3 linked regions of the Canis lupus familiaris genome follow. The protein of the gene in region 1 purifies or fractionates together with the protein of each later gene. This does not show direct contact. Links are inferred from orthologs where the notes say so. Each region holds a gene or a part of one and is shown in the gene's direction. Other genes may lie near its edges.

What was found.
Region 2: the proteins of C-X-C chemokine receptor type 4 (region 1) and TMEM63B purify together in Homo sapiens (co-immunoprecipitation; 3 studies listed by BioGRID and IntAct, with this or other methods). This does not show direct contact. The link is inferred for Canis lupus familiaris from reciprocal best matches to the Homo sapiens genes CXCR4 and TMEM63B.
Region 3: the proteins of C-X-C chemokine receptor type 4 (region 1) and ITCH purify together in Homo sapiens (affinity purification with western blotting; 5 studies listed by BioGRID and IntAct, with this or other methods). This does not show direct contact. The link is inferred for Canis lupus familiaris from reciprocal best matches to the Homo sapiens genes CXCR4 and ITCH.

Annotation. Positions count from the first base shown.
Region 1 is NC_049240.1:40,353,757-40,357,779, reverse strand, and holds the start of C-X-C chemokine receptor type 4, read left to right. Parts: upstream 1-1,223; 5' UTR 1,224-1,364; coding exon 1,365-1,379; intron 1,380-3,341; coding exon 3,342-4,023.
Region 2 is NC_049233.1:12,753,283-12,757,003, forward strand, and holds part of TMEM63B (CSC1-like protein 2), read left to right. Parts: intron 1-3,066; coding exon 3,067-3,147; intron 3,148-3,604; coding exon 3,605-3,721. UniProt on the Homo sapiens protein: Mechanosensitive cation channel with low conductance and high activation threshold. Osmosensitive cation channel preferentially activated by hypotonic stress.
Region 3 is NC_049245.1:24,084,034-24,087,754, forward strand, and holds part of ITCH (E3 ubiquitin-protein ligase Itchy homolog), read left to right. Parts: intron 1-256; coding exon 257-414; intron 415-1,627; coding exon 1,628-1,817; intron 1,818-3,407; coding exon 3,408-3,503; intron 3,504-3,721. UniProt on the Homo sapiens protein: Acts as an Acts as an E3 ubiquitin-protein ligase which accepts ubiquitin from an E2 ubiquitin-conjugating enzyme in the form of a thioester and then directly transfers the ubiquitin to targeted substrates.

The DNA of each region.
Region 1 (4,023 bases):
TGCAGACTGGGCAAGCCTTGCAGTCTGCAAGCGACCAGCCCGGGGTGCGCGTCGCAGCGCCCTCGCGCCCTCTCTGGCTGGCGCTCGCACCTGGAGGGAGGGAGGGAGGGAGGGAGCGGCCCCTGCAAACCCGGCCTGCCGGGGCCTCTTCAACGTCCAGCCCCACCCCCACCCCCACCCCCACCCCCACCCCACCTCGCCCGAGCCTTCCGCCTAACTTCTCATCCCCGCGGCCGCTCGTGCTCCGCGCCGAGTGCAGGAGGACGCCGGGTACGGGGCCACACGTGCGCTCCAGCCGGCTTGGGATCCCGACCCTCGCGCCTCGTGGCCGCCAGCCGGCTCCGTTTCCTCCGCGTGGGGGCCTTGTCCTCGGGTCAGCGCCGCGAGCAGGGCATCGCACGCCCCGGCCCCCGGTGGGCTAAATGCATCGCTGTTGTGCGAATGAATGAGTGATTCTGTGCAAGTCTGCCTCGTGATCTGTTACAGAAACTACTGTTCGCGGAGCCACCCTCCTAATCAGGCGCACTTACACGGACGTCTGAGGACGGCTGTCACTACCTGGTTGCCTGCAAACACGCACCTACTTCCCCGGCACGGTCTCCCTCCTTGATTACGCCAAATCATCCTACCCTCTTCTGGAAGTGTTTCCGTATTTTGCACACCTGATGCGGGCACTGTTACTGGGGATGGGCGCGTATGCTTACAGACAGTTGTGCTCCGAGGACAGAACCGTTTTGTTTTCTGAGCGGTCTGCATCCGCTGAGAGCGCGGGGAAGGGAGTCACATGCTGGACCCGCGTGGGCATTGCCGCCTACGGGCTGGGTTATGCTGCTACTTCACTACCCTTCTCCGGGCCTCAGTTTCCCCATCTGTAGCATTCCCGGGGCCGGAGTTCCATCCACGTGAGCAAGGATGGATGCACACTGGGTCGCGTAGGTGGCCCGCGCCTCTCACCTCCCTCCGGGCGCGCTCAGCGTTCCCAAGTTGGGGGACGCCTCCGGGAAGCCCTCCACGCGCAGCCCGAGACTCCCAAGGTGACCTCCAGCTCACAGCGGCGGCTCAGGGGATTCCCAGGTTTGCCCCAATTAACCTCGCCGGGGCTGCAGCCGGGCGGGACCCGCCCCTCCCTCGCGCCCTCCTCCCGCACGCCGGCCCCTCTCCCCCCACCCCGCCTCCCTCCTCCCGGCCCCACCCGCCCGCCCATCCGCGCGGCGCATGCGCCGCCCGCCGAGCGTGTTTTTATAAAAGTCCAGCTTCAGCCAGAAACTTCACAGTCTGTTGTTGGCTGCGGCAGCAGGTAGCAAAGTGACCCCGACGGCTTGGGTGCTCCGGTAGCCACGGCGGCCGGCGGGCGAGCGGTTACCATGGAAGAGCTCCATGTAAGTCCGGTTTCGACCTGATTTCCTTACACGCGCAAACACGAAAACTTAGGGCGCGACCCCCCTCGGAGCGAGCCGAGGCGAGCGGAGCGTGGGAGGGGCCGGTCCCGGGGAAGGAGCGTGGAAGGGAGTTTCCGTGCGCGTGGCGACCCCGGAGGACCCGGCAGGATTGGAATCGTTGGCTCTGTAGGGCGAGGAGGAGAGATGCGTGTGTCTCCCCCTGGAGCCTGCGGCGCGCGCTGGGCCGGCACAGCTTGCAGACCCAAGAACGTCCTGCACAGCAGCGGGCGCGCGCCGTCCCGGGACTCGGCCCGAGGATGGCGGGGGGCGGGAGGCGTGGGGGGGGGGTGATTACAGGAGCTGGAGCTAGAGGCGGAGGGCGGCGCGCGGGGCTGAGTTCCCAGGGCGAGGACCGCGCCCCTCGTTAATCTCAGGCTGGGGGGGGGGCGCCCCTGAGGGTGGGCGCGCGGGCCCTAAGCTCTGCACAGCCCGCGGGCTGCGTCAGGACCCCCGCCGGCGAGCAGAGGGCGGGAGAGGCGGGCATCTGAGCCTCGGCCCCGCGGGGAGCGGCCGTGGGAAGCGCGGCGAGCGGCCCCGGGCCCCGACGGCGGAGCGGAGGTGTGCGCGGCGGGGACCCGCGGGAGGCTGCGAGGGCACCTGGGCTGCGGGTGTGCGCGGCGCACACGGGCAGGTGCAGGCGGGGAGACCGTTTGGCACTCGCCGATCCCAAATGCGCTGTTGAACCGTTGGTGGTTTCCTGGAGACTTTTGAAAACCCCTTACCAGGAAGGCTTTTCGTTTCCCCCGGCGGCGCGCGATTCAAAGGCTGTTAGGGGGAGACGCCCATTCGCTCCCCAACACCCTGTGAGCCTGCCCTTGGCGAGGTGCTGGGCGAGACCCCGGGAGCCGCGGCGCCCGCTGGTGGGCGTGGGCGCGGGGCAGGCGCGGAGGTCGGGGGTTCGCCCGCCCCCCCCCCCGGCCTCAGGGCGCCCTCCGCCCCGAGGCTTCCAGCTGCAGACCTCCGACCCCATTTACTGGGTCAGTGGCGGGGTGGGAAGCGGCCCGGGAGGGTGAGGAAATGAAACTCGGGGCGAGGACCATGAGTGCAGACCCCGTGACCTTCCCCTCGCAGTAAATCGCCGCGCTCCCCGACGCCGCAGACGCGCCAAGAGGTAGACGGTCGGGCGGAGAGGCCCGCGCCCGGAGGAGCGCAAGCCCCAGGCGCTGTGCGCGTCCGCACCCTCCTGTGACAGCCCTGTTCACCCCACGCGCCACAGATCCTTCCTTTAAGGCTGTAGCCTCCTTCCCCACTACGTGTTGCTTGAAGTACAGATTGGTTTGTGTTTACATGGACGAGGGGAAGGCAATGTTTTGTGCCTTAGGAGAAAGTTTTGAGGACCCCCCCCCATACTCATTCTTTCCCTTTTCCCTATCCTGGGGAAACCTTCGTATAGAAAATTAATCCCAGCTCCTCGGAACTCAAGCTTCTGTTCCCACTCCTCGCCTGCCCCCCACCCCCACCCCACCTCTCCCACTCCCTAGGGCGCACAGTCTAGGAGTGGCTTCTTTGTGTTTTGTTTTGGTATTTTCCCTCCCAAGGTTTTTTTCTCCCCCCCCCCCCCCGTGGGTGGGGTAGAAGAGTTAGCAAAGATGTGACTTTCAAACACTCAGAATCTCAGCGCCCTTTTGTTCTAAACAAAGGATTTTGTAATTGGTTCTACTTAAGAAGGATATAACAAGTGACTCTGGGGAAGATGAGGAGGAGGGTTGCAGGAATCTATAACAATTCTCTTGTGCCCTTCCATTCACTACTTCATCCGAAGCAGAGTGTCCCGAAGAAGCCTGGGCTGACTTGGGTTTTATAAATTACTTTTTAAAAATCGCAGAAACATTTTTTTTTTTTAAGTTGGAGAATGCCAGCTGAACTAGAAAATTAACATCCCTTCCCTTGCCTCTTTTGCAGATATACCCTTCAGATAACTACACAGAAGAGGACTTGGGCTCAGGCGACTATGACTCCATGAAGGAACCCTGCTTCCGGGAGGAAAATGCTCACTTCAACCGTATCTTTCTGCCCACAGTCTACTCCATCATCTTCTTGACTGGCATAGTGGGCAATGGATTGGTCATCCTGGTCATGGGTTACCAGAAGAAACTGAGAAGCATGACAGACAAGTATAGACTGCACCTGTCTGTGGCAGACCTCCTCTTTGTCCTCACACTTCCCTTCTGGGCAGTTGAGGCTGTGGCAAACTGGTACTTCGGGAATTTCCTGTGCAAGGCGGTCCATGTCATCTATACTGTCAACCTCTATAGCAGTGTCCTCATCCTGGCCTTCATCAGTCTGGACCGGTACTTGGCTATTGTCCATGCCACCAACAGTCAGAGGCCAAGGAAGCTGTTGGCGGAAAAGGTGGTCTACGTTGGCGTCTGGATACCTGCTCTCCTGTTGACTATTCCCGATTTCATCTTTGCCAATGTCAGGGAGGCAGATGACAGGTATATCTGTGACCGCTTCTATCCCAATGACTCATGGTTGGTGGTGTTCCAGTTTCAGCACATAATGGTTGGCCTTATCCTGCCGGGTATCGTCATCCTGTCCTGCTACTGCATTATCATCTCCAAGCTGTCCCACTCGAAGGGCT
Region 2 (3,721 bases), on another chromosome or scaffold:
TGCCCATCTCCCCTCCTGGCTTGAACTGGGTCATGGGTTGTTGACCAGGATCCATAGGCCCCTTGAGATGTGTGGTTTCAAACTTTTATGTGACATGCTGGGGTTTGTGTGCAGACTGGCAGAGGGGAGCTCCTTGGTTTTCACTGGGTCCTGAGGGAGCCCTGAAAACCTGAGCTACATGTTCCCTGAGGCTCTTTTCACCTCTGGAGTTGTTTTGTGGAGAGGGGAGTATACATCTCCAGGAGTGCCAGGTGGTTGGAACAGTGCATGTACAGGATTAGGGATCCTGTCATACATTTATCTGTACACTCAGCAGACTTTTTCAAACAATATTAGGGCTAAGTCACTGTGGTGAGCCTTGGGACCCTAGAAATAAATGAAAGATCATTGAGCACTCACGGGATTCACATGGTGGCGGTTAGCATTAGGAGCTGATGCAAGGTCTGATCAGAGTTTGGTCTGAGGTCGGTCTGTGACCAGAATTAGGAGTTGGCCAGTGGCCCTGATAAGGGACATTGGTGGTCAGAATCAAGGACTCAGTGAGGTCTAGATCCACTGTCAGTTGGCCTGGATCAGAACAGGATCGAGAGTCAGTTTCTTTTTTTTTTTTCTTTTTTTTTGAGAGTCAGTTTCTGGTCAGGTTCAGATCACAGATCCCTTTGTTGCAGGTAAATGAGTGGTTTGTGATCCGCAATAGTGAATGGATACTCATTTGTTCCACATGCATTTATTGTCACCTTCTATACCCCAAGTATTAACAAATTAGAAACAGGCCAGACCCTCATAGAAGTTAAAGAACAGAAATCAAATTTAGATTATCCTCGGTCGGTAGGAGAATGACTTGGGATCCTATCTGGAGTCCAAGCTGTGATCGGCATTAGGGGGCAGTCTGGGTCAGGATTAAGGACAGTGTGTGCTCAGAATTAGGCGACATCTTAATATGACCGTCCTGTTGGGATCAGTTGTCAGCTTGTACTGGTAAGCCTTTAATAACAAATACTTACTGAGTACTTGGCATGTGCCTACACCGGAGTCGGAGCTGGGGTTACAGCAGTAAACAAAAAAAGAAAAAGCCTCTGCCCTCATCGGCTCACATTCTGGTGGGCGAGGCAGATAAGAAACAAATGAATGAGTAATAGGTACCATGTCAAGCAGGGTCAGGTGCCAAGAAGAAAACTAAAGCAGTGAGAGAAACAGAGTAGAGTCAGGAAGAGGTGTGTTTCCATTGGGGAAACATTGGGGTGGGCAGGGGGTCTCTGACAGGGCCCTGCATGCCATGAGGAAGTGAACCCTGCTAACCAAGCATCCATTCAGCACACATTTGTCATACACCTACTTTATACCAGACCTGATGGGTACCTGTGGGGAGCTCATGGTTGAGGCTTTCTGTTTCAGGGGTCAGTCTGTGGTTTCGTTTAGGAAGCAAACTGTGATTAAAATTAGTGGTCAGCCTTTGAACAGGAGTGGGGGAGACTATAGTCCTAATTGGAGCTTGGAGAATATCCCCAAGGAGTTGAGTATCAGGGAGCAATCATCTCATTGATCCATTCGTTCCGCACATGTTTATTGAGCACCTACTGTGTCTAAGCTGTTGGCCCAGGCTTGATGTATGGTGATGTATGAGTAGGGTTTGTGATCCAAGTCTGGGGGTCTGTCTGGATTGGAAGGCTGCCCCAGCAGAACTAGGGAAGATCCTGTATGCAAAATCAGAAAGCCTGCATGGTGGGGATTAGAGGGTTAGGGATTAGTTGGGTGAGAATGAGGGCTCAGCCTGCCACAGGGCTGAAGGTCCTTCTGAAGAAGAACCCTAAAATAGTTGGAACAACACAGCAACAGGGAAAAGGTCTACAGTGCATTTCAAGGACCCCATCCCAGATTGAAGTTTCCAAATTCTCATGGATTTGCATGGTCCACTTTAGAACTAGATCTTATACCTCTGTGACACTTGGTGGTTCTTTATTTAAAAGGTTTTTTTTTTTAAGATTTTATTTATTCATTTGGGGGGATGGGGAACAAAGAAGGGGGAGGAAGAAGGGGGAAGCAGACTCCCCACAAGCCAGGGAGTCCAACATGAGGCTCAATCCCAGGACCCTGACATCATGTCCTGAACCAAAGGCAGATGCTTAACCAACTGAGCCACCCACATGCCCCTAAAAAGTTTTTTTTTTTTTTTTAAAGACAAGGCTCAGTGACAACTGAGTGGCTCAGTGGTTGAGGATCTGCCTTTAGCTCAGGTCTTCCTGCATCAAGCTCCCTGCAGAGGCCTGCTTCTCCCTCTGCCTGTCTCTCTGCCTCTCTGTGTCTCTCATGAATAAATAAATAAAATCTTAAGAAAAAAAATATGTGGCTCAGTCTAGATTAGAGAGCAGGGAGGGAGCAGTGTGTGATGAAAAGTAAAAAGGAACTGCTCCTTCCATCAACAAGCACCTCTCGAGTCCTGCCAGGTACCAGTACTGAGAGTCACAGTTTCCCTCTGCTCAGTTTCAAGGCAAGATTAAGGTCAATTTCAGGTCAGGGTTAGAAGGTCAGTCTTGGGTCTAGGTTATGGGTGATTTGGATCCAGGTAAAGGGTCAGTTTCAGGTCAGGGTTCAGGATCAGTCTTTGGTCAGTCTTGGGGCAGGAGTCATTCTGTAGACTGGGCTATGGGTAAGTTGTAGTCAGTTCATGGTCAAGGCTGTGTTGGTCTGTAACCAGGTATTCTAGAAACAGGGTTAAGAGAACAACCCATGAGTAGAAACAGTTTCTCTCAATTGGAAGTTTAGAGCTTGGACATGGAATCAGCCCCCAGCCGTGGCCTCCCTAGCACCACACAGGTATACAGTCATCCCAGGTCATTAAGGAGTGTGCAAAGTCCCCGTGCCCTCCTATTTCCTCCCGCTACTCACATAAACATGGGGAAGAATTTCAAAGGTTTATTCATATGGAACTCCCATATTTGTAGACCAGAGAGAGGGAGCTTGAATTGGGGATGTAGGTCTTAAAGGTGATGAGGTCACGGCTGCAAGTCGGGAGGGGGCGCTGTTGGGCAGAGTCCCTGCAGAAGATGATGGTGGACTGTGTTTCAGGGAGGCCTATCCCAACTGCACGGTTCTTGAAGCTCGCCCGTGTTACAATGTGGCTCGCCTTATGTTCCTCGATGCAGAGAGGTAATGGGGGGATGACACTGGAGGGACCCCTGCCTATTGTGGAGGGCATCCTGGCTGCCACAGGCACCTGGCTCCCCTTCCAGGTTTTTCCCAGGGCATGTGATTTTAATTCAACCCCTGGAGTGCCTGTCAGTTCAGCTCTGGGAAGAGCAAGCCCTGGAGATTCGAGTTTGTTGCAAGAGGCAAGGTGTCCACCATCCCCACCTCATCTGAGGACATCCCCTTCTCTAGCTACAGTATAAGAAATTTAGGTCAAACCATAGGAAGAATTTTTGGCCCTCAAGGGATGGGTGGGAAGACTCTTGAATGGGGACATATCTGAACCATGCATTCCAAGCTCACCCCCCTGTCCTTAGGGAGTGGACCTAGATGACCCCTGAGCCAAGCTCCGACCCTTCCTTCCAGTCATTCGCAGTCCCAGCTGGGCGGCGGGTGACTGGGCGCCTGGTTCTCACAGGAAGAAGGCCGAGCGGGGAAAGCTCTACTTCACAAACCTCCAGAGCAAGGAGAATGTCCCCACCATGATCAACCCCAAGCCCTGTGGCCACCTCTGCTGTTGTGTGGTGCGAGGCTG
Region 3 (3,721 bases), on another chromosome or scaffold:
CCTACTTGTACAGGGCCTCCAAAGAACTTACTTGAAACCCAAATCCCCATAGCTAATAGTTTTGAAGGATCACAAGTGTTTCTGTGCCTTTGCGCAACCCCTCACTCTATCCAGGTGGGCTCTGAGGTTATACATAAGACTCTACCTAAAGACTATGTATTTGATGAGACTGGCCAGCAATTTTAAGTTCTGGTCTTGTTTTTGTTAAATTCAAAGAGCATTTGTTTTCCCTTCCCTTTCCCTCCTCCTTATCCAGAACAAACACAAATGGATCAGATGAGCCTGAGGATACTGGGACTGGTGAAAATAGGAAGGTCAATGGAAATAATTCTCCATCACTCTCAAATGGTGGTTTTAAACCTTCTAGGCCTCCAAGACCTTCACGACCACCTCCACCTACCCCACGTAGACCTGGTGTGTATTCCAGCCATGTAATACGGATGTGGCTGTCAGTACTATGATTGTAAATAATGTTCTATTTGGGAATTGATCCTCTGGTAAGTGTTAAGAGATCCTTTTAGGTAGGTTTTCTAGCCATATTTTTACATTTAAGATTTTAGCCAGGAATGATCTTTCTAGAAGTAGACTAATGTGTGCCTTTTCCCTAAGTACCTCCAAGGGGTGAAGTTATTGAGGTAAGTGTTTTATTGAAAAAGAGGGAAAAAATGAGATCCATATGTGCATTATAAAAGTATAGGCAGTATAGATAAGATTTTATCTTTTCAGCAGGGTTTGTAACAGTGTGGACATAGCATTTCATATTGTAAAGGATCTGGTTGCTTATTCTCGTTATATCCTTTAAAAGACATTTAGTAAATGGCGAGTAACCCAACAATGCTAAATGATAGTCACATTTTGAAGCAAAAATTATACAAGTGAACATATTTCATGTAGTAAAAATGTGAACATCTGTAAGTGAATATCCATTTTTCCTGATTAGTCAGGATAGAATCTTTCATCTTTTATTATTTCCCTCTGGCACTATGTAGACAGGCAGTATAAAAGAGTTAAACCAGATATTATTAGAAAAGCAAATTCGTCATCCTACAAGTAATTTTATTAAAAGAATTTGTGTTTAATTATACAACTCCCCCTCTCCCCCTTCTTGGTAGAAAATGTATTAATATATTCCTAGTCTTTAAGATCAAATACTATTTTGTCAAAATATTAGTGACCTCTCCCAGGAATTGTGTCAAATGTTCTTGAATATGTAATATATACTTTATAACTATTTGTATGAATGCTATTGCTTAACAGTCAGGTCTTCTGTATTTTAACATCAGAACTTGGTCTTTGATCTGCAGGGTTTTGTAGAAAAGACAATTTTAAGGTTCTGGAAAATTGCGAAATGAACTTATAATACCAAAGGATACCAGTGCTTTCCTATTCTTAAAGTTTTTATTTCTTGTGGCATCGGGAAATCAATTCGTATGTGCTTTAGGATTAATAAAGAGACATGCAGTAGATGAAACCTAAAAAGTTATTTTAAAAGTTTAATTTTCATCTGCATGTCCACATCTTAAACTTTCTATTTGTCATCTACTTTTTTATTTTTTAAAGCTAAATTCTATCTTGAATTTAGATTTCTGAGAATAAAAGATGGTTGTTTTCCATAAATCTTTTATAGCATCTGTCAATGGTTCACCATCTGCCACTTCTGAAAGTGATGGATCCAGTACAGGCTCTCTGCCACCAACAAATATAAATTCAAATACATCTGAAGGAGCAACATCTGGATTAATAATTCCTCTTACTATATCTGGAGGCTCAGGCCCTAGGCCATTAAATCCTGTACCTCAGGCTCCCCTACCACCTGGGTAAGTAACTGTTTTTAGTTAATATTTGTTTGCTTTAGGCTTCTGCATATATTTAACTAGTAAGGAAAATAATAATTCCATTCTTTAGAAAACCATCTTTAGGGACACCTGGGTGGCTCAATGGTTGAACATCTGCCTTTGGCTCAGGGTGTGATCCCGGGTCTGGGGATTGAGTCCCACATTGGGCTCCCTGGGAGGAGCCTGCTTCTCCCTCTATGTCTCTGCTTCTCTCTCTGTGTCTCTCATGAATAAATAAATAAAATCTTAAAAAAAAAAAAAAAAAAAACCCAAAAAACAAACTACCATCTTCAAACAATGGTAACTGATCTTGAGGGTGTTGTGTCTAGAGTCAGACTGAGCAAAAAAACCTCACCACATTAAAATCAATGCCCTCCTCATTTTCAGGGCAAAGGTGGCTATTTTTTGTTTTATTTTGTTTTTAAATGGAAGGACTCTGAACCATAGAAAGTTAAAGTGCCAAGTAATAAAAGTCACCTAATTCAGATTGTTTACTCTTTGAAGGGGGGAAAAACACTTTTTAAAATAAAATTTTTCTGTCATACAGTCATTATAGCAAAGTAGCAATAACTTAAGGAACTAAGAAAATTAGTACTCCTCCCGTTTTAATCTCTACTAATTATTTTAAAAGTTAGTAATACTGTAATAGTTTCATACATATATACATTGTGGTATTCAGTTAATCCAGAATTTGGAATCTAATTAAACTTAATTGGCTGATAAGTTAATAAACCCTTAGGATGAAAAGAATTTTTTAAAAAGATTTTATTTATTCATGAGAGACGCACAGAGAGAGAGGCAGAGACACAGGCAGAGGGAGAAGCAGGCTCCCCGCAGGGACCCCAGTGTGGGACTCAATCCCGGATCCCAGGATCATGACCTGAGCCAAAGGCAGATGCCCAACTGCTGAGTCACCCAGACGTACCTATGGTGAAAATTTTAATTGCTAAACAGATATTATTTGTCTGGGTAGTTGAGCCATTTTCCTTTTTCAAAACCTACATAGGAAGCTGAATTAGAAAATTACTTATGTAAGGGATTAGCAAACAGAAACCTGTGCTCTCTGAAGTCATGGTACTTCTAAGCTGTGATGGTATATGCCTGTCTTCTTCACTTTGGGAACCTACAAAGGAGACTAGAATACCCAGTTGATTTTGTCTGTTAGACTGTGCAGAGACATATCTGATCAAATCTTAATACTTGATTTCAATTCTGGAACACAAATAGTGCTTTGCCTTTCAGTTAGCTCAATCTTTCTTCAGATTTCGTAACAATTACAGCTTTTTTTTTCCCCCACCAAGTTATGCCATGATCAGATTGAGGTAGACATCGTCTCCTACATGCATCTGCCTCAGACCTCTTGAGGAATACAGGGCATCTCTTGAGGAGATACTGCTGCAGGAGAAATCTTATTCACTCAGGATAACATTTCTTGACTTTATTCTTAAATTCTTTTGGTATCTTTTTTTTTATATATTGACATGCTTATTTGCCTCAATTCTGTAATATGGTCATTTTAGAGAAAATAGCAAAGATAAGTGCCATACCAGTCTTTTAAATTTTGTATTTAAGTTGGGAACAGAGAGTGGACCAGCATGGGCGAGTTTACTATGTAGATCATATTGAAAAAAGAACAACGTGGGATAGACCGGAACCTCTACCTCCTGGGTAAGTATCTGAATAAGAAGAAAAAAATATTCAGAACTATAGATTATATCTGTACAAAATCTTCCCTATGTTCCTACTTTTCCTCTTCCTTTCAGTCTCTTCTGAACTTTCCACAAAGTTTTCACTTTGTGTTGTAGTAGATGCAAACTAGAAAGGAGAGAATTGATTAAGCATAATGAATGACTTATTTTTATTCGTTTCTCCCCTAAAGATTCCAT